Stegostoma tigrinum: one gene and its partners. The protein of the gene in region 1 interacts with the protein of each later gene in a biochemical or structural test. Links are inferred from orthologs where the notes say so. Each region holds a gene or a part of one and is shown in the gene's direction. Other genes may lie near its edges.

What was found.
Region 2: the proteins of tjp1a (region 1) and claudin-1-like form a complex in vitro, tested with the Homo sapiens proteins (2 studies listed by BioGRID and IntAct, with this or other methods). The link is inferred for Stegostoma tigrinum from reciprocal best matches to the Homo sapiens genes TJP1 and CLDN1.
Region 3: the proteins of tjp1a (region 1) and claudin-8-like form a complex in vitro, tested with the Homo sapiens proteins (2 studies listed by BioGRID and IntAct, with this or other methods). The link is inferred for Stegostoma tigrinum from reciprocal best matches to the Homo sapiens genes TJP1 and CLDN8.

The regions. Positions count from the first base shown.
Region 1 is NC_081389.1:26,743,171-26,753,674, reverse strand, and holds the start of tjp1a (tight junction protein ZO-1), read left to right. Parts: upstream 1-5,368; 5' UTR 5,369-5,600; coding exon 5,601-5,633; intron 5,634-10,504. UniProt on the Homo sapiens protein: TJP1, TJP2, and TJP3 are closely related scaffolding proteins that link tight junction (TJ) transmembrane proteins such as claudins, junctional adhesion molecules, and occludin to the actin cytoskeleton.
Region 2 is NC_081367.1:55,481,511-55,492,040, reverse strand, and holds the start of claudin-1-like, read left to right. Parts: upstream 1-5,854; 5' UTR 5,855-5,904; intron 5,905-6,289; exon of another isoform or gene 6,290-6,373; intron 6,374-6,508; 5' UTR 6,509-6,519; coding exon 6,520-6,742; intron 6,743-10,530.
Region 3 is NC_081365.1:60,186,827-60,196,864, forward strand, and holds claudin-8-like, read left to right. Parts: upstream 1-6,515; 5' UTR 6,516-6,801; coding exon 6,802-7,473; 3' UTR 7,474-7,982; downstream 7,983-10,038.

The DNA.
Region 1 (10,504 bases):
AAGCTCACCCTGGTTTTCTTGTTGAGGTTTCCTGACATTGAGTTGTTTGGCAAGTTTGGTAAGAAGGGAAACTAAATATTTATGAGGTGAGTTCGACTGTTACCAACATGTTTAACAAACAGTAGTCCCTGTCAATGGGCAACTCGCCTTTGTTGAGCAAGAATTTCACCACACCACTTGTGAAAATAATATTAGATCGTGAGAATTGCTCCCAATATCAAGATGGGTCTCACTGTTACCAACGTGTTTAACAAACAGTAGTCCCTATCAATTGGCAACTTGCCTTTGTTGATCAAGAATTTCACCACACCACTTGTGAAAATAATATTACATCGTGAGAATTGCTCCCAATATCAAGATGGGTCTCACTTCCTGATGCTACCACATAACCTATCTTAGTCCATGTTACCCCTATGTTTCTTTTGACTAAATGAAGGAAATGACATTCTTGCTTGACTAACTTATTTGAAATTTTTGAAAAGGTATCTGAGATGTAATCGATGGAATGAAGTTGTGTAATTTATCTGGCTTTTCAAAAGGTCTTCAATAATGAGCCCCCAATTAATGTATAAAAGAAGTTAAAGATTATGGAATCTGGGGATAAGTGGCAGAATGGACCATGAACTAGTTTAAAAGCAGTAAGCAGACAATGGGAGTAAAGGTTAGTCATTCACAGTAATAAAAGTTGGGAAATGGTGTTCCGCAAGAGTACGTGTAGCAGCATTGGGATTTATGATTTGGACTTTTGATCAAAATATTTTCTCTAAATTTGCATATTATACAGGGATAGTCAATACTTCAAAGGACTGTAATAAATAGTAAGAAAATATTCATAAACATGAAGAATGGGCAAATAATTTGCATGTTAACATCAGTGCTGATATACATGAGCAGGGTAGAAAAATTAAGGACTTATTACTTGGTAAATGAAAGTCTAGGTAGGTTAGAGCAACAAAAGGATCATGGAGTACAAAAGCACCAATCACTAAAAGTTGTCACAAGTTATTAAGGCCACCAAACCAAAACCAGGTGGCATAACGTGAGATAACAAGGTGTAGAGCTGATTGAACACAAAAGGCCAGGCAGTATCAGGGGAGCAGGGAGGCTGACTTTTTGGGCCCAGATCCTTCTTCAACGAAATGTCAGCCTTCCTGCTCCTCTGATGCTGCTTGGACTGCTGTGTTCATCCAGCTCTACAGCTTGTTGTCTCAGATTCTCCAGCATTTGCAGTTCCTATGATCTCTGGCATAAAGTCAGCTTTCTTCTGAAACCATAGAATTGAAATGTGGTGAAGCTTTTTTGTGTATCTGTATTAAATCTTGGAAGACCATAATTGCAGTCCTGGAAGAATGTGCACATGTAGTGAAGAGGGTGAGAAGAAACTTAACAAGGATAATACTGCAATTCCTGCTCAGATCAGATCATATCCTATAATTTCAGGTTAAAATTTTAAAATAGAAAAAAAAATTGTTTTGACAACCCACCATTCAATGAGTTTTTTTCTGCATAATGTCCTCTCACAAGAACATAGGAAATAAGAGCAAGACTAGGTTATACTTTCAGCTGCACTATTCCGTGAATTGATAGCTGATTCTCATTTTCAACTTCACTTGCCTTCCAGAGCCTCAATTCACTTAGAAACCAAAAGCCCATTGATTACATCCTTGAACATACTCATCAACTGAGCATGCATGGTTCCATGAGATAGAGAATGACAAAGATTTTCAACCGTCAGAAAAAACAAATTACCCCCCATAAGAGTCCTTTCTGTCCAACCTCTTATCCAGAGAATGTGATGCCTAAGTTCTGGTGTCCTTCCAACATTGACCCTGTCTAATCCCCACTGAAATTTTTACTCAGCCTAAAAGTATCAACTTCCTCGTACTCATTTGGAATTGATTTTCTTCCTACTCCATTAGAATTCTGGTTTCAAATGCTTTGATCATTACGTAAGAATTTGTTTTATTCTTTCACAGTATGTGGGCATTGTTAGCCAGGTTAGTGTTTGTGCCCTGGCCAATGGAAAATGCACCAAAAAGAAATAATGTATTTTTTGAAAGTGTAAGGATAATTGAATGAAACGTTACAATACATTTACAAATGATTCTATATTTAATTAGATGCATAGTATTACATGATTCTGTTTTGATTTTACATCTAGTTGAGTTCCATGACTCACCTTGATTCTAGTTTTCAGCTTTCTTTATAGGAACAATCCATTCTAACAATGCAGAATTTACACCTTGTCTGCACAAAACATCAGTTCCAATAGGAACTAAATATATTTGTCCTAATGCCAAGTCACTGATCCGAACTTTTTCTTTCTTTTTCTCTCCGTAGATACTGCATGATTTGCTGTTTCCTTTATTTTCTAGTTTTACTTTAGATTTCCAGCACCCGCTGTACTTTGAGAACATCTCTCTTGTGAGAGAAGGCAGGAAACCACAGCAAGTTATATCTGAAATACTTGTGGTTTAAGAGTTTCCTGCCACATTCCCACTGTCACTTAGATTAGTGACATCAAATCAACCAGCAAAGCCTGAATGCTGTATAGATTCTGCTTTTGCTTTAGTCTTGTATTAAATTATATTTTAAGTACAGCATCAACTGGGAAAACAAACTATAAAAACTCTTAAGCTGAATCAGCAATATGCAAACAGGAGGGGGATTGCACAACATAGGTATCCCCAAGGTAGATGTGGTCTTAACATGAATTAATTTTGCATTCAGTTTGAGGGAAAGAAGGGTTTGTCTAAGACAGTTATTTTAAACTTAAGTAAGAGCATTTATTAGAATTAGTTGAGGTACTGGGGAATTAAGTTAAGGGGTAGATCTGTGGAGATCTGTACAGATACAGTGGCAGAAATTTAAGGAGATATTTCAGAACAATTAGAACAAAGATGCATTCCAGTGAGAAAAATTTTAAGGGTAGAATACACCATCTGTGAGTAACTAAGGAAATACTTAAAGATAGTGTCCAGTTGAAAGAGAAAGAATACAATTCCATCACGATTAGCGGTAGGTCAGAGATTAGTCAAAATAGTGCTTAGAGACATCAGGATACTTATATATAATACATGGGATAATGGCATCGAGATAGAAGAACTGCCATTATCTCATTATATGACAGAGCAGGTTTGATAAGCTGAATGGGTCTCCTGGGCTGAACCATCTCTCATTTCGGCCCTCATGCTCTCTCTTCTCTCCCACAACAAGGACAGGGTCCCCCTACTTCTCACCTACCATCCATCAGCATCCACATACATATGATCATTAGCTGCCATTTCACTACCTCCAATGGGTTGCCTCTACCACACGCACATGCCCCTCCCTTTCATTGTCAGCCTTCTTTAGCGACTGTTCCCCCAGGGACACCCTGGTCCACTTCTTCACTCCCAACATGGCCCCCAGGGCACCTTCCCCTGCAATCACAGAAGGTGTAACACTTACCTAATTGCTCTCTCCCTCCTCACCATCCAAGGCGTGAACACATCTTCCGTTTGAAGCAGCCCTTTACCTGTTTCACTCAATCTAGTCTACTGCATTATCGGCTGCTTACGATGTAGTCTCTATACTGGGGAAACGAAGTGCAGACTGGGTGACTGTTTTGTGGAACACTTATGGTCTGGCTGCCAAAATAACCCTGAGCTTCCAGTTGTCTGCCACTTCAACATGCCATCATCTTCCTTTGCCAACATCTCTGTCTCAGGTTTGCTGCAGTGCTTCATCAAAGCTCAGTATAAGCTGGAAGAACGGCACCTCATTTTCTGCTTGGGAACTTTGCAGCCTTCTGAACTCAATATCGAGTTCAACAATTTTGGAGCTGGAGCACCTTCTCCCATGTCCTTACTCCAAAAGCCACACACCTGGCCTTGTCATCACATGGGCTGTGGAAAGAAAGACGGGGGTCAATGGACCCAAACATTAACTCTGCTTTCTTTCCATGGGTGCTGCCAGACCTGCTGAGTTTTTCCAGCAATTTTTGTTTTATTTTCTGACCTCCTCCCGTTTCTATTTTGCATGTTTTTATGTAAAAAAGAAGCAACAATGACGAAGAGAATAATGAGGAGGGAGAATTTTTATGGGAGTACAAGAGAATAAATGCTGGAAATATAGAACAGATATTCCACATGTCTGGGGAATTAATGAGGGAGAATAAGCAAATAGAAGATGAATTCATCAGATTTTGTGTTTGTCTTCACTGCAGAGTACACAAATAACATTTTCAAAATAATTGTAAATCAAAAGTTGAAAGGGAGGAAAGAACTTAAAAAATATTATCACCAGGGAAAGGATGTTAATAAAATTATTGGAACTAAATTAGCACAAGTCCCCAGGTCCTGATGGGCTTTGTCCAAGGATCTTAACATTGATGGCTGCTGGATGTATTGGTTTGAATTTTGAATAAAGAAGATTTGTTACTGAAAAAGTCCCACCACGTTGAAAGATTATGAATTTGACTACTCTCTTCAAGAAAGAAGGGAGATAGGAAGCTACAGGCCAGTCAGTTGTCATGGGGAACATGCTAGAGCCTTGAAGTAGTGGTAGTACAACAATTGGAGAAAATTCTGAAGGACAGGTTTAATCTCCACTTATGAAGGCAATTTGATTAGGGATAGTCAGCATGGCTTTGTCAGAAAGAAGTAATTGTAACAAATTTGACTGAACTTTTTGAGGAGGTGACCAAGTGTGAAGATGAGGATAATACAGTAGATGTAGTTTATATTGATTTTGGCAAGTCTTTGACAAGGACGCACATATGGAAGGCTGATAAAGAGGATAAAATCACATGGGAGCCAGGATAACTTGGCAAGTTGGATCCAAAATTGTCTTCATAGTAGGAGACAGAGGATGGTGGTAGAAGGCTATGTGAGTGGAGATCAGTGCACAGTATTTATCTACAATCACAAACAACAAGGTAGACCAATATTCATGGAGGCGTGGAAGAGCGAGTGATAACTTGGGTTGTGTACGACACAAAAGGTTGGCTTCGTGGTTAGCAGTGAGGAAGAAGTTCTTGGGCAGCTGGAACTTAACCGTGATAAATGTGAAGTGAGGCCTTTTGGAAGAAGTAACTTGGGAGTACTCTGGGAAACTCAGAAGAACACAGGGTTCTTGCATGGGTGTACACGGATCCCTGGGGCAGGAGTTCGGTGGGGAAGCTAGAAACCGAGCCTGGAGTTCGAGCCCGGAGCTACAGACCGAACCCAGGGGCTGGATGCCAGTGATTGATCCTCTTCGTCGTGCGCGCGGCTCCACCATCGAAGCCGAAGCCGAGACGCGCGGGGAAACTGGCCCCGCCCCTCTGCCATCAACCAGTAAAAAGGGGGCGTTACCATATGACGAGCCGGGTGTGCTCCTATTGGTTGGTGCTGAGAGTCCCGCGGCCTTGTTGTTTTGTGCTTGTGCAACCGGCCACCGGAATTCGGGAGGAGACTGAGGATAGTCTCTTCGAGCTCAGAGGGCACGGGGAAAGCTTCGATTGAGTGGCTGTTTTCTACTGTCGCACTAGAATGCTCGCTTCCAATCTGTGAGGAAAGGCAGTGTAGCTGAGCGAGGTCGGCGTTTGTGCTTTTCCTTCAGAGAACTACGAAAACAAGATGTCCGCCCGGGTGGCCGGAGCAATGGGCAAGGTATGTGGGGGTGGAGCGGGGGGCGAATGAAGAGCGAGGAAAGAGGAGGGATGGGGACAGGAGGAGAGAGAGAGTGAGAGGACAGTTTGGGTAAGCGGGAGTTTTGGCGGAGGTGGTGAGTTCGGGATAATTGTGCAGGGAAAGGCTGAAAGTTAGCGGACGTGAACCTACTGTAGTTGGTTAGGGCAGGGGGAGGTGGAGGTGAGGCAGTGGAGTGCGAGGGTGCGTAAGTGAGGAGATCAATAAAAGGGCGGTGGTGAAACCCCGTCGACGAGACAGATACTGGTCTGTTCGTCTTAGGCTCTGTCTGGAAGTTTCCGTCGGCATCCTGCCCTGACACTGGAGGACTTTGTGCTTGCGAGAAAGGCGGGGGTATTGGGTACGACATATCAGAGGGTCCGCCAGGCACACGGCCACTCTGGTCAGGCTCTACCACGGAGTGGGCCAATGACGAGGGAATTGATAGACATTAACCGCATCTTAAGTCTGGGTTCAGTTCCTTGTCATCTCTCTTTACTGCCACCGACATTTAATTTATTGCTGGGTCTAGTTATCGCGAATGTATCGGTTTACAAACTTTCACTTTGCTGTTTGAGCTTAAAGTCTTTCCCGACATTTTTGGAGATCAGAGAGTTGGCATTTTCTTCGTAAGAAGACTTTTGGCCAGGACTTCGTTGTCCTAAAGTGAGGTCTGGTTTCAGTTCGATGATGAAACTTTTTGGTATGCAGGAGAGGAGAAAGGGTGCAACGAATATTTCTGCTGTGTAACGCTGGTTAAATCGTCATGAAACTAATAGACAGATGTATTGAGTTTCCACTGACAGGCGGCTGCGAAAGCACAGATCTGAGTTAGTTTGTGCTTGTACGTGTTAACCGACCTTGGATACTTTTGAGTTGAACTCGATGACAGTGAGCTGCAATATTAAATTCGTTTTCTTGTACTATCTGTTATTAAACTGAACAAAAGCCCTTTGAAAATATAAAGTATTCAGATGTTGCATGGTCAATACATTCTTAGTGAAGTGATATTTTGAACTTGAAAAGTATGGTCTATGTAGTAATCGAATTTGTTTAACCAAGTTGAAGAATTGATTTCAACTTTGGGTTTTTAGGGGCGAATGGTGATACTCCAGTCTGATAAACTCTTGTCTTAAGTTTCTGTATTTGCAAATCAATTTCATGGGGTAGGGGATGTATTAAAATTGTTCATTCTGCGCAGACAAGCTGTAAATACATGCAAGTCCTGCCTTAGTTCATTTTGCAAAAGCTGGCATGTCTATAAACACTTCAAGGTAGTACAAGCAAAGAGAGATCTTGAATTGAAAACATGGAGAAATGCGACCACAAAACCAAGTTTTAAAAAAACGAGAGGTCGTGGCTTCTGTGAATCAGGAACAAGAACAGAAGTTGCTGGAAAAGCTTAGCAGTTTTGGCAGCATCTGTGACTCTTCAGACCAGTACCTGTTGTGTCAACAAGGATCCACCACTGCCCTTTTAGATCTGATATGGCTCTTTGAAACAAATGCTCCAATGTTCATAGAACTTGGCTTTTATTTGAGAAATGTAGCAAGATTTGAAGAGTTCAGGGAAATCAGTGTGTTGGAATGTGGTGGATAAGGAGCTCAGCAGGCTGGAGTTCCCAGTGTGGATGGTATAAGCTGAGACCTAAAGTTGCATCAAAGCATAAATATAGTTGTAGGTGAGCATTCTGCAGGACATACCTTGGATGAAGCATGTAGAATTGTAATAAATTATAATGCAACTGCATTTGAAACAAATAAATACATTGGGTTCTTCAGAATTGTACTGTTTTGCAGTCAGTTTTAAGAATAATATGATTTGGAAACATTATCTGTCTACAGTCACCAAGTCAGGAATAACTTGGCTGGTACAAAGTGAATCAGTCAAGTTACCCCCCCAGAACGCATCTTTTGTGTCACTTGTTTCTCCTTCAGGAAAATGCAGGTTTCCTGTTTTTGCTGCATGTTTAGTAGCAACTTTACAATTTTGGACTGATGCCCACGAGAAGCCAAGTTGAAGACTAAGGTTAATTCCAAGTAAAATCTATGTATCTAATTGGAAAGGAGAGGCTTTAATTCAGTCTTGACAAGATGTAATATGTGTTGATGTGAGTGTAAGAGTGGGGTACCAAACCCAATGAATGTTCCACAACCTCAATTATATGGCACAGATATTACATTATTTTTCAGCTTCCTGTTTGGCAATGGTAAATGCACCAAATTGCTTGGTTTTGTTTTAAACATCGATTTCAGAGAAGTTAGTTCTACGAATATTAGCAACACAGATCTCTAAACAATATATTTCAGCACTTGCCTTGTGGAAATGATGCTTGCGTTTGGGACTGAGTGCATTCAGTAATTTTGGCAACCTCCTGTAAAGTAGCATGGACCCTACCTTTTCGTATCAATGTTTGAGTACTGTGAGTGAAACTGAAATTATTTCAGTTTCCAGTGTCACTTCCTGTAATTGTGTAAAACTGCAACAAAATTCAACAATGGCAACAACTGACTTTTTTTGTATGCAGCTTGTAATGAAGGTAAACATTCCCAGACACTCTACATGGATGCATAATAAGAGGAAAACAGAGGCAAGAACAAAGAAGGCAGAGTTAGTCAGAGTCATAGATTCATAAAGCACGGAAACAGACCTTTTGGTCCGACTCGTTTATGCAGAGCATGTTCCCAAGTTAAACCTGACCCATCTGCCTGCATTTGAACCATATCCCACCAAACCTTTTCTAGTTGTGTACTTATCTAAATGTCTTTTAAATGTTCTGACTGTACCACTTCCTCTGGTAATTCATTCAATACATGAACCACTCTGTTTAATAAAATGTTACCCCTTGTGTTTTTTTTAAAGTTTTTTTTTCCTTGCGCATTAAAAAAGTCCTCGTTTTGAAATCCCCAACAGTAGGGGGTGGAAAAGAACCCTTGCTGTTTACCTTGTGCCCCGATGATGATTATCTAAACCTCTCGAAAGTCACACTTCAAACCTGTTGTGCTCCAGTGAAAATAATCCTAGCCTAACCAGCCATTTTTATAGCTCAAATCTTTCATTCCTGGCAACATTCTGGTAAATTGTTTCTGAACCCTGTCCAGTTTTAAAATAACCTTGCTTGGCAACCAGAACTGCGTACAGTATTCCAGAAGAAGCCTCACCAACGTCTTGTGTAACCTCAATATGACATCACAACTCCTAGATACAAAGGCCTGAGTAATGAAGGCAAGTGTGTTAGATTAGATTACCTACAGTGTGGAAACAGGCCCTTTGGCCCAACTAGTCCACATCGCTCCTTGAAGCACCTCACCCAGACACATCCCCCATAACCCACACACCCCTGAACACTTATTTAGCATAGCCAATCCACCTAGCCTGCACATCTTTGGACTGTGGGAGGAAACCGGAGCACCTGGAGGAAACCCATGCAGACGCGGGGGAGAATATGCAAACTCCACACAGACTCCCGCCCAAGGCTGGAATTGAACCTGGATTCCTGATGCTGCAGTGCTAACCACTGAGCCACCACGCCGCTCTATGTCGCCTTAGCCACCCTGTCTAGCCGTGACACACATTTCAATCAGTAGCTTAGTCAAAAAAGTGGATTTCAAGGAGGGCCTTCAAAAGGAAAGTATTTAAGTGGAGATGTTTGAGAATACCAGAAGAAGGGTCCTGGTCAGCACTGAAGAGTGCGCATCAAAGGCCCATAAGGGCATGACTTGTTTCATAGGGAAAATAGATAATGGGGCTTACAGAGGCCAGAACCATGCAAGAATACCGGGATGAAAATGTTAGCTTTTGACTACTGGATACCGTCACCCCAATGTTGACTGAGGGGGGCGGGGGTACTGGGTTTTGTGGAACTTGTTGCAAGTCAGAATGTTGGCAGCTATGTTATGAATCAGGTAAATTTTATATGGGTAGAGGATGGGAAGCCAGACGGTTGAGCTGTGGAACACTAAAGTGTGGATACAATTGTTTGGGATCTCAGCTGCAGTTGCACTGAGCTAAGGGTGAATGAGGCTACAGAGATGAGAGCAGGTGTCTTTTGTGGTGAAGAGAATATGGAGATAGTGAAGAGATTGAGAGAAATAGAACTGGCTGTAATTTCATCTCGTCTGTGGATGATCTTACAAATGATAGTATGTAAAGTAGAGGGCACTAGGACAAATGTTCACTGGCCTGGGAAGTCATGCTGTAATGGACAAAATGATAAGCTACAGATGAGCTTGCCTACCAGTTGATGTGAGACAGTGGAGCCAAATGAGGACAGGTGAACTTTAGGTGACGATGTCAAAGGCTGCAGAAAAGTAATTGTGGCAATAAAGGAAATATGATTGGAGTGATTCAGACATGTTCTGCAGAAAAAAAAGTGGGCATGAATTTTAGTAGTGACGAAGTGGTAAACTTTGAATGAGAAAAGGAGGTTAGATATGGATTAAAAACTGAAAGAACTGCAGCTGCCGTAAATCAGGAACGGAAATAGAAATTGCTGGAAAAGCTGAGCAGGTCTGGCAGGATCTGTGAAGATAAATCAGAGTTAACGTTTCGGGTCAGGTGACCCTTCCTCAGAACTGGACCTGAAGTGTTAACTCTGATTTTTTTTTCTTCTTCGCTGCTGCCAGATCTGAGCTTTTTGAGCAACATCTGTTTCTGATGTTGAGGTTAGATATAGGCTGTTTACAATGACAGTAGGGTGATAATGGTTCTGAATGTCAAGGAAGCTGTATTTAGAGACGTAACTGGATGGGTGGCAGAAGAGAAGTATCTTGAGACAAAAACAAATGGTGGAGAAAATGCAGTATGTGTGGCAGCATCTGTTTGGGGGGTCGCAGCGGGGAGGTGTGAGAAAA
Region 2 (10,530 bases), on another chromosome or scaffold:
ATCTCCTCTGAAACGCCTGCTGCTTACCTTAAAACTATGCCCTCTCATGATTGAACCCTCAACCAAGGGGAACTGTTGTTCTCTATCCACCTCATTCATGCCTCTCATAATCTTATATACCTCAATCATGTCCCCCCCTCAGTCTTCTCTGCTCTAAGGGAAACAATCCAAGCCTATCTAGTCTCTCCTTATAGCTCAATTTCTCTATTCCAGGCAACATTCTGGTGAACCTTCTCTGTACACTGTAGTGAGGTGAGCAGAACTTCATGCAGTACTCTAGTTGTGGCCTGACCAAAATTCTGCTCAACTCCAACATTACCTCCTTGCTCTTATACTGTATGCCATGACTGATGAAAGCAGGAGTCACATAGGCTTTCTTAACTATCCTATTTCATGCTCTGCTGATTTCAGGGATCTATGAATAATTACGCCAAGAACCCTCTGTTCCTCTAAGTTACCCAGTGTCCTGCTTCATCTTGTCTTTTTCTGATGAAGGGTATCTACCATCCCTCTTAAAAAGTGGAACCACATTAGCCGCCCTCCAATCCTGTTGCTCTTCCCCTGTAGCTAGAACGGAATTAAAAGTTTGTTCAGAGTCCCTGTAACTTCCTGCCTTGCCTTCCACAGCAGCCTGGGGTGCAATTCATCCTGGCCAGGGATTTGTCTGTTTCTGAGGTGAGTATAGCCTCCAATATCTCCCCGTATCCTATGTCAAAATGTTCAAGTTCCTCCCAGCCTCTTTTCCTGAAGTCCATACCTATGTTCCTCTTTTCCAGAATGAACACTGAAGAGAAGTATTCATTCAACACCCTTCCAATATCCTGCAGCTTTACACAGAGGTCGCCCTGTTGTCCCTAATGGATTCTAATCTTTCCTTGATTAACCTCTCTTCCCATTTAATACATTTATAAAATATCTTAGAATTCTCCCTAGTCCTGCTCGCAATTCCTTTTTCACGCCCCCCTTTTGGTCTTCTAAATGCTTTCTTGAGTTCCCTCCTACACTTCCTGTATTCCTCTGGAGCCACAGCTGAACTGCTCCCTGAACTTCTCTTGCACACCTCTGTGAACTGTCTACATAATTGCTCCTCTATTTCCAGTTGACTCTTTGGGTGTTTATAGTACAGTAAAGTAGCTGCTCCCTTAACATTTCTAAGTTCTGCCCACAAAGCCTCATTTAAGAACCTTTCCAACATATCATCTTTCCTTAGTGCAGTACTTGACTCCTTAATTAACCATCACCCTTTTTACACCCTCATCTGTCTCACACCGGAATGTTGAGTTGCAAGTCCAGCCCTTCCCTCAACCATGTTTCTGTGATGGCAACAATATCATGCTTCCCTGAGTCAATCCATACCATTAACTCGCCAGTCTTATCAATTACACTCCTGGCATTAAAGAAAAGACCATCAGCCGTGCCTTACTCTCTTCACGCTCAACATAGCTGAACCCACTGTAACGTGCTTCCTTTGTTTGATCGGAAGGCCCTTTCAACATTTGACTGACGCTGAAGGATCTTGTGATATATGTCCAATTCAAAATGCTCTGCAGCTTGGCTGCTTTCAAATGCACAGAATACCCTTGGTCTTGTACAGAACATGTGTCTGGGAAGTGCTGTCAAAGTAAACTTGATGAATTGCAGCAGTGCCTGTGGATAATCTGGCAATGCATGAAAACCTAGTATAGTGAGAGTTTTACTTTATGTATCCTGTCCAGAGAGGTTTGATGGGGTAAGTGTAGTGGGGACTTTATTCTATATTTAACCCCATGCTGTATCTGGTCTGGATGTGTTTCATGGGGATACTGTAGAGGGAGGTTCACTCATTTCCTAATGATATTTTGCTCCTGAGCTTCTCTGTCTAACACTGGAATTTCTCTCTGCCAAAAAACCTTGGGCAGGAAGTGAAAATAAGGATGTATAAATACTGACTGATCAGAACTGGGGAGATCAAACAATAAAGCTAGAGCTATCTGGGAAATAAAAGCTAAGAACAATCTTATATCATTTGGAGGATTTGTTATTAAAGATTTCATTGACAGTCTTGGCCTCTGAGAGTTCCTGTGATCCATTTTGTTTGCCCTCATTCCGTGACTGACCCTCAATAACAACCCTCAAAAAATGTTTCTCCTGGGACATTGTTGTGGTGTTAAATCTACAATCACAGCCTCTCAATCAGGGTAAGATTATAAAGATGCAACAGGTACAGCAGCACCTCTCAATACATCAGAAAGATTGGGGACTCAATGGTCAAATACTCTGCTGGCTGTGATAATGAGACACCTGGGTTAGATGGCCATCCTTTCCACATCCACCTTGTCAAGACCATTCAGGATCTTATATACTTCAACCAAATCACCCCTCACGTTTTGGAAGTCTTGTGGGAACAAACAACATGACATCTAGCAAATCTTCTTTGAACAATCTCCAATGCATTTACATCTTTCCTTAGATAAGGAGACCAAGACCATACACCATATTCAAGATGAATTCTCACCAATGCCCTGTATGACTAATGCATAACCTCCTCACTCTTATGTTCAATTTCTCTTGAAATAAAAGATAGAATACCATTTTCCTCCTTATACAATTGTAGCCTCATACTAACATTTTGTGACTTGTGCACTAGAAGTCCTAAATTCCTCTAGCATCTCGAAATTCCACAGTTTTTGTTCTCTGTTTAATTTGTTTCTCAGCCCAGAGTGCACTGATCTCCTAGCATGGTTAAAAAAGGGAAAGCTTTCCCCAAGGAAGGAAATGTACAAGTCTGGCCTGTATTCCAAACTTGTGACCACTGTGATAGAGAAGGATAAGGGCAATAGATATATGGGAACATTCCCAGCTGCAAGCTCCCCTCCAAGACACATAGCTTCCTGACTTCGAACTGTATTCTTCATTGGGTCCATATCTGGAACTCCCTTACTAACAACACAGTGAATGTATCCATATCTGCAGTGGGTCAGTAAAGTGGCTCACCAACACCTTCTCAAGGACATCTAGGGTTTGGCAACCAATGGTGTCCCAGCCATTGATACCAACATCCAATGAAATAAATGCCGTTCATTCATAAGGGCTAGCTACTTTGCATCAAAATTGAGCAATTAGGGATGGTCAGTAAATGTTGACCTTACTAGAAATATTCACATATTAAGAATTAGTGGTTTAAAAATCATTTCTGGAGCAATACATCAGAGACAAGAGTCATATATGGGATGAGAAACTAGAAGCAAGCATTGATCCTGCCACTGAGTACCACATCTCAGAAGGGCTTCAATAATTCCCAACACTCTACCCATTCAAAACAAAAGAAAAGCACTGCTGAATAAAATCTGAAAGAACTGCAGATGCTGGAAATCAGAAACAAAAACAGGAATTGTTGAAAAGACTCAGTGGGTCTGGCAGCATCTGTGGACAGAAATCAGAGTTAACGGTTCGGATCCAGTGACCCTTCCTCAGAACCGCAGTTAGGAAGGATATTATTAAGCTAAGAAGGGCTCAGAAAAGATTTACCAGGGTGTTGCTGGGAATGGCGGATTTGAATTACTGGGACAGGCTGGATAGGCTAGGACATTTTTTACTGAGGTTGAGGGGTGACTTTATAGAAGTTCATAAAATCATGAGGGGCATAGATAAGGTGAATGGCAAATGCTTATTCCCCAGTGTTGAAGATTTCAAGACTAAGTGGCATGTTTTTAGTGTGAGAAGAGAAAGATTTAAAGAAAAGACTTGAAGGGCAATTGTTTTAAAGAGTGGTTCACATGAGGAATTAATTTCCAGAAGAAGTGGCGGGCACAGGTACAGTTGCAACATTTAGAAGTCATTTACAAAAGTACATGAATAAGAAATGTTTGGAATGATATAGACCAAGTGCAGGTAGGTAGGACGAGTTTAATTTGTGATTGTTGATGACACAGACTGGTTGGGCCAAAGGGTCTGATTCTGTGCTGAACGACTCTATGACTCTATGCTAGCGATCTCAAATAGAAACCGAAAGTGCTTAAGAAACTCAGCAGTTTTGGCAGCATCTGTGGTGAGAGAAACAGATAACGGTTTGAGGTGAAAATGTCTGCTTTTCAAAATCAGAAGAAGTCATTTACTGAAGCTCTGAGGAAGATCTAAACCATTAACTCATTTTCTGTCTCCACAGATGTTACTGGACCTGCTGAGTTTCTCCATCACTTTCTGATTTTGCTTTACTCAAACAATACAAATGTCAGTTTAACTGAGACTGGTGTCTGAGAATCACATGATATTCCAACTGAATTATGGTGACCCAGTTCACTTTTGGAACCTCATGGAGAGTTTTGTTTAATAAATGAACACATTCAAAATTTCAGTCTGAATGTAGAGTAACAAAAAATTCTGTGCCTCCAACAATTGTTTAGTGTACAGCGTGATTTTGATCTCCTGCGTGTTGGGTCAGCTGACCCCTATAAACAAAATAATTTTGATCCACAACAGAAGAAGCATGTTTAGCTCCACAAGACTGATATGCCATTCAACCATTGTCCATGCCCAATCTGCACCCAGCTCCATTTATCCAACTTCACTTACAGTCCAACAATAGCAAGCAATCCCCCATCCACATATCATGCCCTCAATTTGAAAATCCAGGGATTTTGCACTCTGTTTCAAGCCCAAGCCCCTGTCTTTTGCTGAGGTTGGCCCACCTCTTCCTCCGTTACATTGATGACTGTATCAGCACCGCCTCTTGCTCCCCAGAGGAGCTCGAACAGTTCATCCACTTCACCAACACCTTCCACCCCAACTTCAAGTTCACCTGGGCCATCTCCAACACATCCCTCACCTTCCTGGACCTCTCAGTCTCCATCTCAGGCAACCAGCTTGTAACTGATGTCCATTTCAAGCCCACCGACTCCCACAGCTGCCTAGAACACAACCCCTCCCACCCACCCTCCTGCAAAAATTCCATCCCCTATTCCCAATTCCTCTGCCTCCGCCGCATCTGCTCCCAGGATGAGGCATTCCACTCCCGCACATCCCAGATGTCCAAGTTCTTCAAGGGCCGCAACATTCCCCCCACAGTGGTCGAGAACGCCCTTGACCGCATCTCCCGCATTTCCCACAACACATCCCTCACATCCCGCCTCTGCCACAACCTCCCAAAGAGGATCCCCCTCGTTCTCACACACCACCCCACCAACCTCCGGATACAACGCATCATCCTCCGCCCCCCCACTGCATCCCAAAACCAGACCAGCCTGTCTCTGCCTCCCTAACCTGTTCTTCCTCTCACCCATCCCTTCCACCCACCCCAAGCCACACCTCCATTTCCTAACTACTAACCTCATCCCACCTCCTTGACCTGTCCATCTTCCCTGGCCTGACCTATCCCCTCCCTACCTCCTCACCTATACTCTCCTCTCCACCTATCTCCTTTTCTCTCCATCTTCGGTCCGCCTCCCGCTCTCTCCCTATTTATTCCAGAACCCTCACCCCATCCCCCTCTCTGATGAAGGGTCTAGGCCCGAAACGTCAGCTTTTGTGCTCCTGAGATGCTGCTTGGCCTGCTGTGTTCATCCAGCTTCACACTTTATTACCCTGTCTTTTGCTGCTCTGTTGGGGTCAGTTGACTCAACACACAGATCAATACCAACTCGCACACTAAACAATCGTTGGAGGCTCAGACATTTTTGTTCCCTTACATTCAGACTGAAGATTTTCTGCAGCTTCTTAAACAAATGATTCTAAGAAGAAACTAATGCAGAAAGAACTCTTATTGGACATTTTTAAAAAATTAAATCGAGGTGTCGCAAATTGACGTGGAACGCGGGGTGGAGGTGGTGAATTCTTGCCTAATTTGAGTTGCCTGAAAATCTGCCCAAGGCTGGCAGACTGGGGACCGAACGGAAGGTTCTTTGAGAGGCTGCGAGAAACAGGCACACGGTGAGAAATGCAGAGATACTACGGGTGACACAGAGACAAGCACATAGACATAGAATTGTTTGGTACACTAATAAAGACAGATTTTAAGATAATGAGAGTGAGAGAGAGATGGAAAGATATAGCAACTCAGGAACAGGAGTAGGCCATTCGGACCTTAAACATGTTCAGCCATTCAATGAGATTATTTATGGCTGATCTGTGACCGAACCACTTTAGCTCATATCCCTTAATACCTTGGCTGAACAGAAATTTATCTATCTCAGTTATCTAAAACGAACAACCGATGTAGCATCATCTGCCATTTTTAGTAGGCTCTAAGATGCCGGGGAGTCACTGAGAGATATCGAGATTTCGAGTAATATGGATTTGGCCGACGGAACCTGAATCCGCCCCTTTAAGGTGTGGCTGACAGATCAGGTATATTCCCAAGAACTCGGCAGCAGAGCAACAAGTTCTCCAGCAGAGTCAGGTACAGTTCCTGGGGAAGGATGGGGAGGGCGGGGGGGCAGCTGGGGGTGGTTTTGAGGGAGGGGTGTTGCCTGTAGGATTTGGGGGACACGGTTTATTCGCTGTGAGGTAGAACTCATCTCCCTTTGCCCTGCAGGCAGAACGCGAATGGCCAACTCGGGTCTCCAGATCCTGGGCTTTGCCCTGGCTTTTTTCGGCTGGATCGGAATCATTACCAGCACCGCTCTGCCCCAATGGAAAACCTCGTCTTACGCCGGGGAGAACATCGTGACGGCGCAGGCCATCTATGAGGGGCTCTGGATGTCCTGTGTGTCTCAGAGTACCGGGCAGGTCCAGTGTAAAGTCTACGACTCAATGCTGAAACTGCACAGTAAGTGGATGCGGGGGATGGAGAGCGGGCTCCTTCTATCTCTGTCTATCAGAAGGAAGCTTTCATTGGTCAATAGGAGGCTTTAATATTCCCTTTACAAAATAATGGTCCGTCTCCTGAAACCGCGGACACTTTCTGAGTTACTGCAGTGATGGAGAACCCGCACTCTTGCTGATTTCAGGTCTCTATGCCTTGTCCTGAGCGCGCTCGCTCTCCCTCGTTTTAGCTCACGGGGCGGATTTACTGGGCTTCCGCACGTGAAGAATTTGCCAGGTCGCCCGGTAGGTGCTCCGTTGCCCGTTTGTTTAGAAGTTACTCAGTTGTTAATTCCAGTGAAAGCGCTCCAGGCTACTCTGTGCGTCTGGATGTGAGGGCAAGTTGCAACTGGTCTTCCTGGGGTAGGCGGCCTCTGAAATGTTCCCTTTCTTTCTAAAAGTGTACGCCAAAAAACAGCATCTGTTTCAGGCCCTTCTCTCGCCCGCATACTGAAAGAGAGCCTCTCAATAGAAGGAGAACTCTGTTTTTACCTTCACAGATGCTGCCAGACCTGCCGAGCTTTTCTAGCAACTTTGTTTTTGTTCCTGATTTACAGCAGCAGCAGTTCTTTCGGTTTTTAACAAGGGAACTGTGAGCTGCTGGCGCTGTTAGCTATCCATTCGGGGCCCCAGATCAGCCGAATATTTTCCTCTCACCTCTGCTGTTACCCCTTCACCCCTTCCTGCATCTCATTGACAGTTCTCCCATCTGTAATGCTGTCAGTTATCAATATAGACTGACCACACCCAGCTGGACCTGCCAATGTCTGTTTTGACAGCTTTCCTGCCTCATGTTTATTAAACTGTTGTTCTGCTCCCAGGACACCATAGACAGAAACTTACCACCAACTGTGTCTTGGGAAGGCAGAACCTAGAGTCTTTAATCCCCGTTGCAAAGCCTACCTCTTTGCCCTTGAACCCTGTCCCCTTCAATTGCCTGATGCTGAACCAGACACAGAAATCTCAAAGTCCATAAAAGACCATTTAGCTCATTGTGCTAACCTCTTCAGATGAGCATCCATGTCTAGTATCTGTTCACAGCACTTTGCTTTCTTTTTAGTCTGATATGGGTTTCCATTGACATGGCTGCCAACCGTAAGGCTGCCAGACTTCAGCCTCCTCATCTCCTGTTCCTCAAACAATCAGCCACACTCTCAGAGTTCACTAGTCACGTGTCCTCCTGGCTGGGTTTGCACATTCTGGAGCTTTGCTGCCATTATCCTAACTTGTGCCACTGCCTGGTCACCAATCACTGCTCACTTCGCTGGCCTCTGTTCACTGTTGGTCTTGATTTTTAATTTCCTCAGCATCCATCCCAAGTGACTCCATCACCTTGCTATTCCCTATTTCTGCAAAGTTAAGCCGTTCTACAACCTCTGTTGTTACTTGTGCCCCTGCAATTTTGGATTTTTGTCCATCTCCAACTTTAGTTGCTCCACCATAGTTTGTTTTATTCATACATGGGATGTGGGTATTGGTGGCTGGGCCTGAGTTTATTGCCATCGAGAAGGTGGTTGTGGGCTGCCTTCTCAAATTGCTGCTGTCCTTGGGGAGGAAGTTTCAGAATTTTGATCCAGAGACTAAAGGAACAGATGTATCCAAGTCAGGATGGTGAGGGGCTTGCAGGTAGTGGTGATCCCATGTCTGCCCTTGTCTGTTTAGATGGAACTGGTCATGGGTTTGGATGGTTCAATCTAAGGAACTTTGATAAATTCCTCCAATTTGTTTTGGAGATAGTACACATTGCTGCCACTGAACTTTGGAGGGGGAGTGAATGTTATTGGATGTAGTGCCAATCCAGCAGGCTGCTTAGTCCTGGATGTGTCAAGCTTCTTGACTCGTGCTGCAGCTGCACTTACCCAGGCAAGTTGATCCCACTTCTGATCTGTGGTTTGAGGGTAGCGGACAGGCTTTGCAGAGTCTGGAGGTGAATTAATCACTGCAGGATTCCTTGCTTCTGGTTTGCCCTTAGGTACTAACTTTTGAAGTCCTGGCTTTTTAATGAACCTGTTCAGAAATGTTATTACACACCACTAGAGCAGGTGAGACTTGACCAAGGGCCTCTGGCTCAGACGTAGGAACACTACCGCTGTACCACAAGAGCCAACTTTGAAGCTCTGAAATTCCCACTGTAAACCTCTTCACCTGTCTTTCCAGTCTCTGGATGCTGATTAAATCTAGCCCTCTGATCAAACATTTGGTCACTTGATACCTACAGATGTGATTCAGTGTCAGGTTCTGTTCGATACTGTATCTGTGAATCACTCGCTTTCATTTTACAGAAGGACATCAGAGTTGGAGTGTAGGTGATCCTTGGGGTTTTAAATAGCGGGAGAGAAAGGGTAGTTGAGGACGGAGTTCAAGTCAAGGCAGTGAGGGTAGTTGGAGGAGTAGTTGGGTGGGAAAGGAGTGTTTTGGGAGAGGGTATGGGTAGACTGAGTTGGTGAAAGAGGGGATTGTTGGGAGTGTTGGAATTAAGGCAGACTATGGGTGATTAGAAGGTGTTAAAGCTGGAGAAAGTAAGGTTAATTCTAATTAGGTCAAATTTTTGAGGGGAGGGGATTGTTTGGAGGGTAGTTGCTGTTAGGGAGAGTGGGGATGGTGGGCGTGAGTTGGAGTTGGTGAATGTAAGGGTGGTTGGATAGTGGAGTTGAGGAGAATTTATTTGGGCCGTATGCTGTGGAAGAAACTGGTTGGGGAAGTTGTTTAGGGTGAAGGGGCTGTATGGGGGCATTGGAGTTAGGGGCATAGTGGCTGGTTGGGTGAGTTGTTTAGAGGAATGAGTTTGGTTGAGGGTGTTGTTGGGGGGAGGGGACTGTTTGCAGGGAGGTGGAGTTGATTTGAGGACTGGTTGGGAGGACTTTGGAGTTGGAAGGAGTAGGGGTTGTTGGTGGGTGTTGACCTTGGGAGGAAAGGGGTGTTGGGAGTATTGGTTGTGTGTTGAATCATAGCTGTACTCCTCATGATTTGAGACTGGTGAAAACTGTGAACATGATAACATCCACCAGCTAATACAATGTGAGGCTGGATGAACACAGCAGGCCAAGCAGCATCTCAGGAGCACAAAAGCTGACGTTTCGGGCCTAGACCCTTCATCAGAGAGGGGGATGGGGGGAGGGAACTGGAATAAATAGGGAGAGAGGGGGAGGCGGACCGAAGATGGAGAGTAAAGAAGATAGGTGGAGAGGGTGTAGGTGGGGAGGTAGGGAGGGGATAGGTCAGTCCAGGGAAGACGGACAGGTCAAGGAGGTGGGATGAGGTTAGTAGGTAGCTGGGGGTGCGGCTTGGGGTGGGAGGAAGGGATAGGTGAGAGGAAGAACCGGTTAGGGAGGCAGAGACAGGTTGGACTGGTTTTGGGATGCAGTGGGTCGGGGGGAAGAGCTGGGCTGGTTGTGTGGTGCAGTGGGGGGAGGGGGCGAACTGGGCTGGTTTAGGGATGCAGTAGGGGAAGGGGAGATTTTGAAACTGGTGAAGTCCACATTGATACCATATGGCTGCAGGGTTCCCAGGCGGAATATGAGTTGCTGTTCCTGCAACCTTCGGGTGGCATCATTGTGGCAGTGCAGGAGGCCCATGATGGACATGTCATCAAGAGAATGGGAGGGCGAGTGGAAATGGTTTGCGACTGGGAGGTGCAGTTGTTTGTTGCGAACTGAGCGGAGGTGTTCTGCAAAGCAGCCCCCAAGCCTCCGCTTGGTTTCCCCAATGTAGAGGAAGCCGCACCGGGTACAGTGGATGCAGTATACCACATTG
Region 3 (10,038 bases), on another chromosome or scaffold:
TCTCATCTAAAATAAAGAATTTTGATTGTGTTCCTGAGTTTTTTTGGAAGCTAAGAAGTGATGGTCAAAATTAGTTCAACTTATTCCAAATACAACATTTTTTTGATGCCAGAAACATTGTATTAGATGGTTTAATTTATTTTTAAAAAATTTATTATTGACTGGAGAAGTATGTTGAAAATAAGTACCCTTGTTTTTCATGTTCCCTCATAGTGTTTCATTGCTTTTCTTGGTGGATTAGATGGTATCAGGAACAATGAAAGGCAAAGGATGACACATTTTGATTCAATTTTTGACATCACATCTGGTGATGAGTTCAATGGAAAACAAATGAGGTTAAACCAGTTGCCAATTTTCCGCAGTCAACAAATTTCACAAAATCACATCATGCTATGTTTTTACCATAAATGATTAAGCAGCTTGAAAGTAACAAGTGATCTTGTGGCTGCCTTCCAGAATAGTTCAAATGCTGGCAAAACTAATGTTATATGTATACAATAGTGCCATGAATGAACATTGGTTGTGGCCAGAGATCAACGACAAAGTCCAAAGTGCTTTAAGTCAAGCAAGAAGTAAACAGTCCAAAGACCATGACTGGAATTTTTATTTCAAATGGGTGTGGGAATGGAAGGGGTGGCCCCTCCCCATATTTTGCACCACCAAATAATGTACCAACATCTAGCTATAGGACCTGGGAATCCACTCACATATAGCAGATAAGCAACTGTTAAAGAAAATAAGTTCGTTGACAGTTTGGCAAAAGTCAGTTTTTTGCTATTTTGGTAAAATGTTACAGCAATCACAAAAGTCCATCGTAAGGAAGTAGAACACTATGAAAATCATAGTCATGATTGCAGGAGATAATCAAAAGAGATTATAAAATGTGGTAGCCTCAGAGACACCTGTATGAATTTCCATACAGTTGTCACCATATGGACATTGCTTCTTGAGCACTTAGATGGCAAATACTCAGGCAATTCAGGGGAGTAGGGTGACTTGTTGGTAAGCTAACAGTGATCTTGGGAGCAGGCATGGAGTGAGAGGTTTCATGAACTTTGATGGTCAAGCCGGGGCAAACTTGGTCAAGAGAATTACGTAGAGACCTGTAGTGATGATGACCAGCATTTGCAACAGGTGGGAACACAAATGAGAGGAACAAGGGCAAGATGATAATAAAAGTAATATCCTCTGCACAGGGTATACCATGCAAAGGAAAAAAAACCACCCTTATGTCTGTGCAGCAGGAGGCTTTGCCTTTCCATACAGGTGGCTTCTGGCTTGTACAGTTCTCTCAACCAGTGGGATGGACACAAAGACCTCAAGAGTTGGCATGCTTGCCAGTGAAATGCTGCCACAAGCTTCTTACCAATGGTTAAATCATTCTCTCATTTCTTTTCACAATTTAGTAATACAACTTATTCTCAGCAATATCATTGTTATTTTTAATGTTCTTAAAGATATCAGTGAATGGTCAACATAATATGAACTGTAAAAATGCACTCCTTGGAAAAAGTAGGTTTTTTTTGTTTTTATCATGGTAAGACAAGGTTTTGTTTTGATGACGCATAAATCTAAAAGGTTAAGAGCCACGGCCTACTACAGGACCTCTTCCAACCACAAAGTTTTCAATTTCTGACAAAGTCACAGTGGCCTTGGTCTGCTTCGGCTTTGGTTCATTTCAAGATTTGGTAGCAGAACTGTTTCTTAGGTGGCAATTTATTGTTGCATATGACGGATCACTAATGCTCATTTGAGAGAGCAGGGGAATACATGGAGTTTCCAACATGTGTTGGACTCCCCTTTCCAAATATGAGGGAGTAATTAAAGCCCTTACACCCTGAATTAAATTCCTTCTCATGGATATTGTGTTTATTGATTATAGTATAATATATTATATTGGTATATTGGGCTGTTAATAGGTTATTTCTCATTGTTTAATGTGTTAATCATTTACGGTGCACATAATCATATTATATCTCTCATACAGTCACATGAAGGAGTAAGCCACACAGTATGATGTGTGATAGTTAAAGCTGTGGCTGTTTCCTACCTTTGTCAGCTGTATTGTTCTATGTTCTATGTTCTATAATACAATGTCCCTCTTTGCCAAAACCTCCTTGTAAAGCACCTCGAGAGAAAGATCAGAAAAACTTACAGCATCCCTAGCATGATCTGTTGCCTGCTCACTGCTCTGTTCACACCTCCATCTGAGAATGTAACAATCAGCATCATGAAGATTGACACCCAGAATGAAATCCTGTATTTTATTACAAAACATTCCTGCAAATCTTTATCATCAACTGAACACATTTAGAAAACTTTTCAGTCAATGATTTTCTGTTTGATGCGGATAGTGCTCAGTTCTCAATGATATATCTACCAACGATATCAAGGCCCAAAATAAAATCTTTTTTTCCTTCCTCCCGTGTACAAATCTGGTTTGCAACATCACTTACATATTTACTTCACTTTCTGAAACAATATGGAGGAAAAATAACTACTTTTGCATTTGTTTACTATTTTTTAATGAAAGAAAGGTTATGGCAGACAGTGAGGAAAATGCAAGTAAACAAGATAAGTTAGCAGCATTTATGGAATTTGATCTAAAATATCAGTCATGGCTAAAAGGCTTTGGGCTGAGTTCCTGCTGGTTTTCAGACTGTTTATATAAATCTTAGTTTAAATGGAATATTCATATCTGAAACATGTCTTTCACATTTGCTGTTGGACCCTCAGCATGTTGCAATAACATTGACATGAACTGTCACTTCCTCCCACACATTTCATATGTATACAGAACATATAACAATTCAGCATATGAACAGGCCCTTCAGCCCACCATGTCTGTGTTGACAGTGATGCCATTGTCAACTAATTCTATCTGCTTGAAGGCAGCTCTTCGTGCCAAGCAGAGTAATCATATTCTGCACCATTTCATTCAGAAACACGCATACTCATGGACATGCAAGTCATCTTCCAAGCTACTGTAGCAAACTCTTCTTCGAGTGTCAAATGGCCTACCCTTAACCTTTAATTTTTCAAAGTTATTTGACGAAAATATTACTTGACTGAACAGTGCTGATGCAGCCTAGAAAATTGAGCACACCGCACATGATCAGATTTCACAATCCAAACTTAGCCGATAGAGTCACAGATCGGGACAAAAATGAAATGTTCAAGCCCAGAACTCAGGGGAAAAAAAACTGGGACCTTCAAAATAAACCATTCATGAATAAATTTAAAAAAGCACAGCACAGCTTTTGGTAGATAAATTTAATATTAATTTGAAATGTTTAAATAAAATAAAATTAGAGCTGTGCTTTGGGCTGCAAAAATTAAAGTAAATTGGAAAAAATATCATAAGCAATTTTTTTCTGGATGTTTTTGAGTAATTTGTGGGATTAACACAGCAATATTACTTAGTCACTGCATCTTTAACATTGAAAATGCTTAATAACTTGATATCAAAGTTTTCTTGTTCTATTACAGTTTCATTAAAATACTTCTGATATTTTTGAAACCTCAAAGAAATGAAAGTTTTCTAAGATACAACTTAATGTTTCACTTTTATTTTAGAAGTGTGTTTGGCGAGATATCATTGGTGGAACTCAGATGCAGAGCAGAATGTCAGTATGTCTAAGGCCACTCCTGTTCTCGCTTTTCAAATAAAGTTAAATTGATTCTTTCCACCTGAGTACACCTACCTACAACATGCTGTTTTGTGTTATTAAGGTTTGCACTATCCTTTGGACACAGTAATGATTGAGCAGCTCTGCTGCAGGGGGGTAACATTTAGTACTATTATCAGGAAAACAGAAATACCTTGTATGTGAAACTTGAATGCATCCCCTTGTTTCTAGAGTGCTTGAAATATGCTTGCACAGTCAGTCACAGTCCAAACTGCAATAAATTGAAAGAATAAACCTATTCTCAAGAGTATCGATCCACAGCAGAACTCAGAAGTACTTTAGGAGAGTATAGAGAAAACTATTAAGTCCATTTTAAGGTTGTAGATCTAATACAGTGAGCATACGCAGGATGAAGATGCCAGGCTCCATTTTTATGTTTTGGGCGAGTTTGTCTGGTGGGACTGCGATCTGGCCCACCTGGCATGCAGTATGCATAGGACCCTAGGTCTCTGCTCTCCCCTCTACAGCTGAATTCTTGATTTCCTGACTAACAGACTGCAGTCAGGAAGGATAAACACCAATACCTCTTCAATGATAATCCTCAACACCGATGCCCCATAGGGCTGTGTACTCAGCCCCCTACTTTATATCTTACACACATTTAGCTGTGTGGCCAAATTCCGCTCCAATGCCACTTGCAAGTTTTCTGATAACAACATCGTTATAGGTCAGATCTCAAACAACGACAAGACAGAGTGCAGGAAGGAGATAGAGTGCTTAGTGCCATAATGTGAAGACAACAATCTCCCCATCAACATTGGCAAAACAAAGGAGCTGATTATTGACTTCAAGAAACAGAGAGGAGGGCACACCCCTGACTCCAATGGTGCTGAGGTGAAGATGTTTGAGAACATCAAGTTCCTAGGAGTGACGATCACCAACAATCTGTCCTGGTCCACCCACATTAACACTATGGTCAAGAATACACAACAACGTCTCTACTTCCTCAGAAGGCTAAGGAAATTTGATATGTCCACCAGGAATCTGACAAGTTTTTAAAGAGGCACCAGAAGCACCATAGAAAGCATCCTATCTGGACGCATCACCGCGTGGCATGGCAACAGCTCTTCTCGAGACCACAAGAAACTACAGAAGCTTGTGAGCACAGCCCAGTCCATCGTGCTAACCAGCCTTCCAAGCACTGACTCCATCTATACTGCCCATTGAATCGGGAAAGCAACCAACATAATCAAAGGCCCCTCCCACCCCAGTAGTACCCTCTTCCACCATCTGCTGTCAGACAGAAGATACGAAAATGTTAATACACATATGAACAGATTCAAGAACAACTTCTTCTGCACTGTTACCATATTTTTGAATGGACCTCTCAAATGTTAATGTTGATCTCTCTCTGCGCCTTCTCAGCAGCTTTAACACTATATCCTGCACTCTGCTCTGTTATCCTGATGGGCTTCTATAATACAATCTGCCTGTAAATCATGTAAGACAACACTTTTCACTGTACTCAGTACATGTGACACTAAAAAATCAAATCAAATGAAAACAGGGCGAGTGAGTAATCATCAGGATTTTTCTCTTGGCTACCATCTGACTGCCACTGCTGCAAGTGTGAATGATATGTTGAGATTAGTCAGGTGCAATGCCTCCTGTAGTGAAGTAGCCTACAGAACATCCACAATTGCACGATGGTTATTTGAGACTTGGGATAGGCACTGAAGGATGCTCAGCATTATGTGCTAATAGGATGTGGGTGTCACTGGCTATTCTAGTATTTATTGTCAATCCCATTTGAATGCCAATTAAATGTGAGATCACATCTGGAGTATTGTGAGCAGCTCTGATCTCCTTATTTAAGGAAAAGCATCATTTTGTTGAAGGCAGTTCATAGGATGTTCATTAGGATGATTTCTGGTATGGAGGGAAGATCTTACGATTGAACAGATTGGGACTCTAGTCACTGGAGTTTGGGATAATGAAAGGAGATCTCATTGAATCAAATAGGATTATTGAGGAGCTTGACAGGGTGAATGCTGAGAGGATGTTCCCCCTTATGGAAGGCTCTGGGACCAGAGGAGAACGGTGGCCCTTTATTCTACTACAATTTAAGGCTGGGACAAACAGAAATTTCTTCTGTCAGAAGATAGTGAGTCTTTAGAACTCCTCCATACAAAGAGCTATAGGGACGGATTCCTTGTGTATATTTGAGACTGAGATGGATAGATTTTTGATCAATAGGCTAAACAAAGGCTACAGATAAACAGCAGGAAAATGGACCTGAAGAATGTTGGATCAGCCATGATCCTATTGAACGGCAGAGCAGGTTGGAAGGGGCCAAATAGAACACTGTTGTCCTATTTATTATGTTCTTAAAAAAAAAACAAGAAAAACTACATGTGCTGGAAATCTGAAATGAAAAAGAGAGAATTGCTGGAGAAATGCAGCAGCACCCACGGAGGGAGAAGCAAGGTTAAGGCTTTTACTCTGGATTCACTCTTCTCCCTTAAAATGTATCAGTGAACCAGACAGATTTTAACAACAATGAACCATTCTGATAGTTTTTACTTCCGCATTTTATATGGAGTTCAAACTTCACCATACGCCATGGTGGAGCTCAAATTTATACCCTCAAAAAAATTACCCTGGTGTTCTGGATTACTAAACAGGTGATTTTAACATGTCGCCACTGTGCCCACTGTGGAACCATAACGTGTAACATCAACTCTTCAGGACAGGAGCGCAAAAAACACTGGCAGCGAGGGAAGAAAAATAGTTTCGCCAATAAAACTTCAAATCGTTTGCACAGGTGTTTACCGCTTTCAAGATGCGGAGAAGAGCGCTCCTTTGTTTTATAATTCATCCCTGGAGGTCGCCTCATTGGCTGCAGAGCTTGCTCTGCCCTGTTATGTATTCTGTCCCAATCAGTGGTTCCTTTAAAAAGTCCAACAGCAGAGAAGAGAACGTCCTAACTTATTACGTCTGGGATTAATTGACCTTACGAAAGGGCAGAACATTTTGTTGCAGAGTTTTAACAGGGACCAGCTGGTAAAGCGATACACGACAGTTACTTGCTTGGTCTTTATTTGTGGTTCTTCTCCGACTCATTTTACGAGAAGGGAAGCTTTCGCGCTTGGAGCTGTAAACTGGAGACGAAATGGTGAGTTCTACTCTGCAAATCTTCAGCCTGGTCCTGGCAGTCATTGGCTTGGTCGGGACGTGTGCGGTGACCGGGCTGCCCCAGTGGAATGTGACCGCCTTCATTGGGAGCAATCTGGTGGTCTTTGAGAGGAACTGTGAAGGTTTGTGGATGAGCTGCGTTCAGCAGGCAACTTTTCGGATGCAGTGCAAGTTGTACGACTCGTTCCTGATCCTGAGGCCGGAGCTGCAGGCTGGCCGTGCGTTGATGTGCACTGCCGTGGCGCTGGCTTTTCTGAGCATCCTCGTCGCTGCCATGGGAATGAAATGTACTCGCGGTGGGATTCAGGATGAACAGGTAAAAAGCCGCATATTGATAGGCGCTGGAGTTCTGCTGATCCTCACGGGAATTGTCGTCCTGATCCCCGTGTCTTGGACCGCCAACATAATCGTTCGGAATTTCTACGACCCGCTGGTTTTGGAAGGAATGAAACGTGAACTGGGCGAAGCCCTGTACATCGGCTGGGCGACTGCCGGCTTCCTGTTAGCTGCAGGGGCCATCCTTTGCTGCTCGTGTGTGAATGGACAGAAACGGAGTTACAGTTATACACCTGGACAACATGGGAAACAGCCCCCAAAACAGACAACAAAGAAAATCCCCAGCATGTATTCCAAAAGCGAATTTGTCTAAATCATTTGAGATTCGCGGTGCTTCAGAAACTTACCAATCCAAAGGATAGAACCTAGGAGTGGTTAAAGCGACAGCGAAATGTAGAGAAGCATCATCCCTTCAGGTTTCGCGGTGAAATGTTGGGCTTTACATCCTTATCATTGTCATCATTTTTATAAAACTTATTCTGTCCAAATACCTATATTTTGTGATCTTTGTAAAACATCTCTAAAGCAGTTTGATGGATGTCTTTTTTATATCAAAGTTAGTTTTAAAAATTAAAGTGTGTATCTATTCAAATGTTTAAATATTTGCTGAGTGCAACTTTACAGGTATCTTTAAAAAAATGACTTACATATTCTTGCAAAACTGTTAGGGTTCAGTGGGACATTGCTTTATTACAGTTGGAGACTTTTTGAAGCAACACATAGTCTTATGGCATTCTGTCAACTGAATATACCGGCGTTTCAAAACTTTTTCTTACATATTGAGTTTTCATTTTAAATATTTCTGTGAATAATGCTCATACAAATGGTTGGCCATTGCAAATTTATGTCATAAATAATTAAAAATAATTTAATTATTTTCTGCAAATTTAGTTATTTATGAATTAACTTTATTGCATATCAAGATAGACTTGAATTGAATTGGACTTTTAAGTTCTGCACTGTACACTGCTCTTTAAATAATGCAAGTGGGACATGATTGAGGGTGAGAGTCCCTTTGTAAGGTATTTACAGTTTTTCCACCCCTATTGGTCTCCCTTTGATATGTGTTATAGTCAGTCAAGCTAGTGGGTATCATGTTTACAATATTTTTGTGACATTTTTAAACTCTGCTGCCAGATTCATTGGAGCATATGATGCAACTCATTTTCTTCCTTTCTTAACCATTCTGTTGCATCCTGGGTGTGCAGTTGTGCCCTGGTCTTTTCTCAACATTCCTCCATTTAATCTGGTGAATCAACATGTTGGAGCTCAAAAGCACAAAGCTGTATTGAGCACTTCACTGATTTCCTCCCAAACACACTATTGCTGCATTTACAATATCTATAATAATAGTCCATTTCAGGATTCAATAAATTTATCTGGTTTAGTGAGTTACCATTATTTCTTTTTTTCATTATAAGTTGATCTACATCTAGCATTTCATAATCAAATGGCAATGCTTATGTAGTGATAGTGCATTCATAGTTTTCAATTTATTTTACCACCCATCCTGTGTAGGATTTATACATATTAATTTCCTACAGTCAAACTTCTGTCGGCATTTCCAACATATTGATGCCTCCTCCTGCTTTCTAGTGATTATAGCCTGAAGTAATCTGTATTGGTTAGAATAGTGCAGATGATGAAATAAGGATTCTGCTCAAGTTTGTCATTAGGAATTCTATTTTTCAAGTTACTGAATATTTTGGATGGAATGAAATCAGACCTCGCCTCACATAAAAATCAATTTTGATAAATTTTCAAGTATTTTTATATGGAAGGCTTAAGATGACCAGAGATATCCAGTCTAGTTGGATTAACCATTGGAAATGCAGGGTTGTAGAGATAGGCTGGGTCTGGTTGGGATGGTTTTCAAAAGTTTGATGTGGTCTTAATGGGCTGAATGGCCTGCTTTCACATTGTAAGGATTCCATGATTCTGTGAAAATTGTACTGTTGAACCCAAGTATAGTTTATCTGCCATCACAGTTGACTTACGCCTTCATGTTCATATGGCTGATATCAGCTATTCCACTGAAATTGAAATTTTCCAGGTGCCATAATGGATTTTGAATTTGTGTCTCCAGATTATTAGTTCAAACCTCTGAACCACCAATCCAGTAGCATAGCCACTATGCCATTGTTAATATGACTATAATAAAAAAACTATATATACTTACAGTGGATCTTACCCATTCCTGTTATGATAGTGATGAAAATACACACTTAGGACCTATACTACATTACTTAGTACGTTTAATGGAATAAAATGATATTAAAAAGGAAAAAGATAACAAAGTGTAAAGCTGGATGAACACAGCAGGCCAAGCAGCATCTCAGGAGCATAAAAGCTGACGTTTCGGGCTTAGACCCTTCATCAGAGAGGAAGGAAAAAGGAAAAACACTGATTTAAGATGGGCACAGTGAATACCTGACCAAGCTGAGCCAAGCTTGTGAAATTATCAATAGACAACATCTAGTCAGAATTAACATGCATCAAAATGATTGAAGTAAGTCACTGATATCTGTATCTTTGGTTCGATTGACACCTTTCTGGAAGTTTTCCATATTGGGGTGAATGTTGCCCCCAGTTTATCCAATTTGGAAAAAAAATGCAGACACAGGAATCCACAAAGGAACTGTATAACAGAAACTTAGGAACAAAATGAGAGAGGAAAAAATGGACTCATAACAGCAGAACTGGAAGAATTGCTATCTCTCTCTCCCCAGGTTGTCTTCGTGTTTCTCAAAGGACAGTTCCTGGTGATCAAACAATTTGGAGAAACAATCACTCACTGAGAACTCAACAATATTTACTCATTTAGCTATTGCTGAGGATGCAAGTTTCAATCAAGAGATAATGACCCACAGGTTAAACC